Linked DNA regions of Struthio camelus. The protein of the gene in region 1 interacts with the protein of each later gene in a biochemical or structural test. Links are inferred from orthologs where the notes say so. Each region holds a gene or a part of one and is shown in the gene's direction. Other genes may lie near its edges.

What was found.
Region 2: the proteins of PLCG1 (region 1) and ITK form a complex in vitro, tested with the Homo sapiens proteins (2 studies listed by BioGRID, with this or other methods). The link is inferred for Struthio camelus from reciprocal best matches to the Homo sapiens genes PLCG1 and ITK.

The regions. Positions count from the first base shown.
Region 1 is NC_090959.1:7,247,895-7,251,644, forward strand, and holds the start of PLCG1 (1-phosphatidylinositol 4,5-bisphosphate phosphodiesterase gamma-1), read left to right. Parts: upstream 1-1,098; 5' UTR 1,099-1,185; coding exon 1,186-1,387; intron 1,388-1,894; exon of another isoform or gene 1,895-1,909; coding exon of another isoform or gene 1,910-2,000; intron 2,001-3,750. UniProt on the Homo sapiens protein: Mediates the production of the second messenger molecules diacylglycerol (DAG) and inositol 1,4,5-trisphosphate (IP3). Plays an important role in the regulation of intracellular signaling cascades.
Region 2 is NC_090954.1:11,276,955-11,280,704, reverse strand, and holds the start of ITK (tyrosine-protein kinase ITK/TSK), read left to right. Parts: upstream 1-933; 5' UTR 934-1,000; coding exon 1,001-1,171; intron 1,172-3,750. UniProt on the Homo sapiens protein: Tyrosine kinase that plays an essential role in regulation of the adaptive immune response. Regulates the development, function and differentiation of conventional T-cells and nonconventional NKT-cells.

The DNA.
Region 1 (3,750 bases):
GAGCCGGCTCCCCCGCCGCTGGGGCACGGCCTTGCTCTTGCCCCGGCCCCCCGGGGCCAGAGGCAGCGGTGGGCGCTCGCCCGTCTGCCGGCCGCGAGGGCGAGACCTTGCGCCCACCTAGCGGCCTGCACTGCCTCCCTCACCTGATTTAGCCCCCAAAAGAGCCAGTCTTGCTCAAGTTGCGCGGCCCTGCGGAGCGGCCGTCGGCAGGCCGCGGCAAGGACCGCCGGGCAGCCCCACGTCGCCGCGTCGGACAACGCTAGCCACGAGCCGGGACCGGCGAGGAGGACGCTGCTGCAGCCGGAGGCCGGGAGCGGAGCCGCGGGGCTGGACCCCCCTGGGGCTGGAGGGAGCACAAAACCCTCCCGCCCGACCCCTCGCAGCGCGGCAGGGTGGAAACCACCTCGCGTCCCCAGAAGCGCCCGCTGCCAACGCGAGGTGTGGGGGGCTGCGGGGGGCTCGGCTGGCTCCCTCCTGGCTGTGCACCGGCGCGCTGGTAGGTTCACGCCAGCACCCCACACGTGCCGTGGGACCCCACGTGTGCTGTGCCATGGGGCGCACGGCACACTGGCACCTCACACGTGCCGGGGAGCGCTGGGAGCCCACGTGGGTTGCTGGGTGCGGGGTGCGCTGGGACCTCAAGCACACCGCGCTGTGGGGAGCATGGCACTCCGGGGACCCCACAAGCGCTGCAGAGCGCACAGCACGCTGGGACCCCATGCGAGCCGTGCCGTGGGGTGCACGGCACACCTGGGAGCCTGGGAGTGCCGTGGGGTGCGCGGCACGCTGGGACGCCCGAGCGCTGCGCCGTGGGGTGCGCGGCCCTCCTGGGACACCGGGCAGGCGGCGCGGTGCGTGGCTCACCAGGACCCCACGCGCGTCGGAGCAGGGGGTGCTAAAGCCAAAGCCTGCAGTTTCCCTTTCTCCCCTTTGTGCGGCGGCGGCGCGGGGCTGCGGGGCCCGGCGCGGAGCAGCGGAGCAGCGCAGCCGCCGGCACCGCGAGGGGGCCGCGCTCCGCCGGCGCGGCCGCCCCTTCCCTGCCCCCGCGCCCGCCTCCTGGCCGCCGGCCGCCGCGGCGGGCGGGCATGGGGCGCGGCGGGCGGCGCTGAGCGCGGCGGCGGCGGCGGCGCTCCGGGCGCTCCCGCTCCCTTTTGTTCGGCGGCTCCGCGGCGGCGGCGGGCGCTAATGGCGGCCGGGCCGGGCAGCGGCCCCGGCGCGCCCAGCGAGGCCGAGGCGGCGCACCTCTGCCGCAGCCTGGAGGTGGGCACCGTCATGACCCTCTTCTACTCCAAGAAATCCCAGCGGCCCGAGAGGAAAACTTTCCAGGTGAAGCTGGAGACGCGGCAGGTCACCTGGAGCCGCGGCTCCGAGAAGCTCGAGGGCGCCGGTGAGTGGGGGAACAACGGCGGCGGCGGCGGGGGGAGAGGTTTCCTGGTTCGCCCGTGCCGGGGCCGGGGCCGGGGCCCGCCTTGCCCTGCGCTGTCCTGCCCCGGCGGGGACCCGGGCGGGGCGGCCCGGGGGGGGCGCGGGAGCGGGCGAGCGCCGGGCCCGGCCCCGCCGGTGCTGCCGGGACGCGGCGGGTGGAAACTTCCCGCACCGTCCTCGGTGCCGTGCACCGCCGGCTGCCGCGGAGGAGCCGGCACCTCTGCCCCGGGTAAGGCGCACCGGGAGGAGGCAACAGCGGCCGTGTGAGCCCCGTGGGGGTTACACCTCAGAGCAACGGATGAAATTAAACAAACAGCCCCCCTCCCCCCCAAAAAAACAAAAAACCCAAAGAAACCCAACGCCAGAAAGTGCACCGAAACGCCCCGTAAGGTCAGCGCTGCCTCCTGCCCTCGCCCCTTTGTGCCGCCGTGAAGGCTGATGCGGGGTCAGGGCTGGCGTGGCGGGTCCAGGCCCGTCTGCGGCCATGTGTGCGGAGCTGCTTGCTGGCTTCGGCTTCCCGTGGGCGACGTGGTTCTTTAGCACGAGGAGGGTAGGAGAAAAGACTCATAAGAAACGTGAGTATAAAACCACAAAGACGGGTGGGAAGGGAGAGAGAGAAGGGAGGCCCCACACCAGGAGACTTCTAACCTCTTGCTTTGGTTTCCTAGCTTACTGCTGTTTCTTTTAAGTTACCTTTTGCACCCCCATGCGCACCAGTCTGAGGACACTGTCTCTAGTTTGGCTCTGGAGGAGAGGAAGAGCTGACACGCACAAAGATGAGGTGACGTAAATCCTGGTGCCGTCACTGTCGTGCGTTAGCACCATCCCGCGCGTTAAGGGATGTGACTGAGGCACAGTGCAGCTTCGATGGAGGTTGTCGTCTGTCCTCTGCTAACTTCTGCTGGCCCAGGGTGGAAAGGCTGGAAATATTTAATGTTACCAGAGGGCTCAGATGAAGAGAGGACGTGGAAATGATGGACACAGTTCTTTAGCAGGACCTCAAATGCTAGTGTGTCCAATCTGGGGCTTTCGTTTGCTTCAAAACCCTTGGAGTCTTCCAGCTTCTCCCCAACAGCTCCTCCAGGCGGATCTGGAGGACGCCTAGGTTTCCCAGCCCCATTAACATCGTGGGATGTTAAGTTCCTCCATACCTTTCTCAGGGTGGCCTCTAGGAGCTTTCAGGCAGTGGGAGAAAGAGGGAGGAGCCTGAGGCATGGCTTGCCCTGGATTTAAGTCACTTTTAAAATATGGAAAAGCATTAGCTTGCTGGCAAGATGCTGCATTTTGTGGCAGTGGGGGACCAGGGCCTGTGAGGGAAGAACCCCTGGAGGGGCTCTGGTACCTGCTGCCCTGTACACGGGTGATTATTCCCATGTGCAGATGTAAATGTTGAAAACTTAATTTTAGAGAAACCTAGAGAACTTTAACTTCTTGCACCAAAACTGTAGTAGTAACAATGCTTATAATGTCTTGCCGGTGAGGACTTACTGTGCTGTGCATAGGGTGAAGACCAGACCAGTAAAAGCAGAGAACAAGTTCCAGGGACCGAGGTAATCAAAAAAAGGCAATCCATGTGTTTCTAGCAAATGAAAAATAAGAGTCAGTGGTCACTGAACACCTCGTTCCCTTATGTCCCTTTAAACATCGTAGCAGAAAGTTGTTGGTGAGTTGGCCCTGGTGGCCTTGTGCTCATGGTCCCCAGCATGTTCCTCACATCCCATGTTGAGCGCAGCCCTCCCAAGGCGTGTGTTTTCTGACATGTCGAGATGGGTGGTACTATAGCAATAAGATGTCACCGTAAAGAGGTTTCTTCCTCCCCAAGCTGTCTCTGATGCCAGATGCACTAATGCCCAGCAAAGCAACTTTGTTGTCGTTGGCAAATTCTACACATGGCCTCTTCTCTGCACCTACCTCCTCTCACCTTAGCTGTTGGCCTTAGTTCCCTCCTCCTCCCAGCACCCAGAAGAAAGGGTGTCCTGTTGCCCAGCAATCCCGAACACTTGGCCAGTTTCCCCATTTTCATCTGAATGTGCTTTCTGGGTGTAAAAAGGATGCCTGGGAGACCCCGGATGTATAGATTCATAAGAAATGTGGCAATTATGTGTTCCACGTATGGCGTTTTATATGACAAATGCATTGACTTATTTCTCTCCTGGCTCATCCCACTCTTGAAATCTACCCTTGATTGGCACAGGGCCCACTTGGCCATGGTCTGATCCAGGGTAAAGAGTCTGAGCTGGAGTCAAGCTGACCATTTTCAGTTAGGTTTAACCAAGAGCAGTGACTGATTCAGTTCTCCTGAGGAAGGCGAGCAATGCCAGGACT
Region 2 (3,750 bases), on another chromosome or scaffold:
CAGTTATACATCACTGATAAAATAATGCACAAAATATTAAAAATGCAAGAACAGAGGAAAATCTATTGCATTTGTTTTAAAACAAATGGTTTTTTTACTGAGTTTTTTTAAAATATTTAAAATATTTACATGTTTTAAAATTCTAAAATTAAGCTGCTGCAGGCTGTCCAGAATGGTGCAGTGAAGTCCTGAGGAAACGTATTGCACTTATTTTGGTATTTCTGCTCACTTTGCTGCTGATGACAGGGATCTTGATTACACAGAGTGTATGTTGTGCCTGTGTTTCTCGCAGCATTCAGCTCTGGACTAATTAGAGTGCCTATGAAGCAGACAGCAATCAGTAAACAGTAACTGATAATAACTAATTAGTTATCAGTTATTATAACTGTTTGCTATCAGATTAAATATCTAACAACTGTAAGTATTTATCCTTCCTTGTAAAAATATATAATGGATATGATTTTTTATATGGGTAGTAGGTTTAATTGCTTTGAACTGCCTTTTTGCCTTTGCTTACATATTAGGAACTTTCATGTTATGTAAGAAATTTCCTCAAAATACTTTTTTTCGTAAAAAAAACAAAAAAGGATGTGTGACCTACTTCTAAGAGGACAGGAAAGACACTTCTCCTATACATTCAAGTTCAGTGTATGCATTTATAACTGTATTTACTGGATGGACAAGTAGGAGACAGATGCTTAATCATGCCACACCTCTTTATTAATCCTTGATCATTGACTCACATCTGTTGAATGTCGCTGAAGTGTTATTTTTTCCACAACATTTACCTTAGAGGATATTTCAGCATGTGCTGTTCGGTTTATGACTTCAGAGAGGATGTGGTTATGGTTTGACAGAAAGGAAGCCTGCTGTAGATGGGAAGATAAAGCTCAAAGCACCTACGCTGCCTTATGAACACCTTTTTTGTTAAAAAAATTAACTGTCTTCCTTCTTGTTTCTCTGTCTTGGACGGGTGCTCAGCGCGTAGGGCAGGCATCCCATGTCCTGGGAGAGGACTGTTCTTGGCTCAGCAATGAATAACTGTGTGCTCCTGGAGGAACAGCTCATCAAAAAATCCCAGCAGAAGAGAAGGACGTCTCCCTCCAACTTCAAAGTGCGCTTCTTTGTCTTAACCCAGTCCAAGTTGGCTTACTATGAACATCGCCATGGGGTATGTCAGCCATTTTCTCTCACATAATACAGCAATGGAAGGAAGGATGAACTCTCCGTTAAGCATTATCAACTTCGTATTTCTAGTCCTTATTACAGCACCATTTGCTGAAAATTGCAAAGTGGTCAAACTGGTCATTCAAAACTACTGGTCAATGGGCATCTGGTGTGAATGGGGGAATAAGACTACCTAGCTGTTTTACAGAAAAGATCTAGTTTTGTTGTAGGAATTTACAGTGGGCTGTCACAACCGATATATGTAACAGCCGAGTGGGTCTGCGCCTGGCTGTTTGCGTTGGTACAGGAGTGACCTGCAGCGGCACATTGCAGCGATCACAAGTGTTCTGCGCTATGTACCCTAATTACATCTGGGAAAAAAAATCAGCCCCTGTCTTTACTCTCTCATCTTTCTTTAGGGTAACAAACTGGTGGCTGCTAGGTCTTACATTTTTAGATAAATTCAGCTGCCATGCTTAACAGGTCTAGCCTTTGGATTTAGCTTAAAAAGGAATGTGATGATGAGATACATGCTCAGACTAGTCATTTTTTCAGCTTTCATTTCTCTGATTTGCTAAATATGAAGAAAATTAGAAGCCAGTCTGCACACCCCATTGTGCTAGCTATGCTAGTGAAGTAAGAATTATTCCCCTCTTCCTATATTTAGCTGGATGTTTTCTGGGCCTCATTAGACAGTTGTAAATCATACAGCTTGTTTTCCAATAATTGCTGAATATGCGATTAATCCATTATGTTTAAGTGATGTTACCTTACACAAGCAAGTACTGGGGACCGTGTTGCCTTGCTGTCTGGCTTTGGCAACTTGAGATCATCAGACATTGCTCACAGACATAGAAAATTAATTTAAAACTGAAACCAACAAGGAAAGCAAATTACGATGAGCCCTTGTATCATATCATTGCCCAGTTGAGGTTGGATACCTGTCTTAAGGGTTAATAGTCATTATTACTTGCAAGTTACTTCTCTCAAATATGTTCAGCAAATGTTTTACTTGCTTTTATTTTATAGATGGTGCTTTTCCATACCTCCATATTTAAATAGGAAAACATTTATTGCTGCCTTGTTTTTCTGTATTTAGTTTCAGACTCTCTGTGGCTGCTATCCAGACTATCTTTCAGATGTTATTATTTTAAGATTTTGGATTCTAACCATTCTACTCGATTATGCTGGGTAAAATTTTCAAAAACATCTAAGTGATTCAGCTGTACGTATTTAGAGGAATCTTAATACCTAGGGTTTTTTGGTACTTTCTGAATCCTGATGGATTTGAGAGGAATTCAGCATTTATCCTGCCTAAGTACTTTTGCGGAATTGCACAGGTGTCTGCCTGCATTTTTAGACACATAAGTAGTTTGGAAAATCTGACTTAGTGACTTTCAGTGGGGCTTAGATTTCATATGTTACATGAGCATCTTGGGAAATGTTATCCCCTAGCCTTCCTGAATGTCAAGTAGGCCATTGTGGGATATATTCAGACTGCCCCAACACAAATATTTAAAAAGCTTGCAAAGGCACATTGGTACACTACACATTCAAAATCTGAATTCATGGTGAACGACAGCTGGCAAATACCTTTTTATTTACTTATTTATTTATTTATGTAGGTTAGGAACTTAGGAACTTCTGAAAATTTGATGTCCAAAATCAGACCATAGAGGACCAGATCTTTAAGTGATTTAAAATGCTGTAAGTCCAGAGGCATCAAAATAGATCTATGCAAAGTTGGACCAGATGAGGACTTGGTGCACTATCTACTCTATCTCATATGTTATCTGTTATAAACTTACACGCATTACATATGTATAGACATACATATGTATGAACACACTAATATGACTTTAGGCACATACAAACATTTGAGTGACTGTGGGTATGTCTATAACTTCAGGGCCGATGTTCCATGAAACATTGATTTTGTGTTGATACAAACTATCAAAATCAGGTCATTACATTAACAGAAGAACTTAGTACCAAATGTGGAAAGAGTATTTGCGCTTTTACATGCTCCCAGAACCAGTCCTCAGGCTCTTCAGTGTATTTCCCACAAAACAGATCATCCTGGTCAGGCCTCCATGCAGTCTGGTCATCCCTGTTCTGGAGAGGAAAGCTTAAGGCAGGCCGTGGAATCGCTGTCGTGTCTCATGCTAAGAACTGAGTGAATCCTGAGCAACCATGTTCACAGCCTTGCGGCCCGTGACGGGAAAATGATTGTATTTGCCTGACACGCTGGCTATGTCCATCCTAGCAAACCAAACAGGACCAGGGAGCATTTGCAGGCATAGAAATTAATGGTGTGTACCAGGACTCTTCCAGCACAGGCCCTGGCACAGTTTTGGCTCTGCTCAGACAATTCGTGGGGACGGCAGGCATTAGCATAGACCATGGGCCGTTGTCAGTAGACCATCTGCTTGTGGCCACCTCACTCAGGAGGCGAGGGGGCCAAGCAGCATGGCATCGGCTGCTCTGTGCTCGCTGGCCTCAGTGACTCAGGCTCGCTCGCTGCACTGTATAGAGGGGGCCAGCAAGTGCTGGGCTTTTAAAGTATGCGGGTTCCAAGGACAA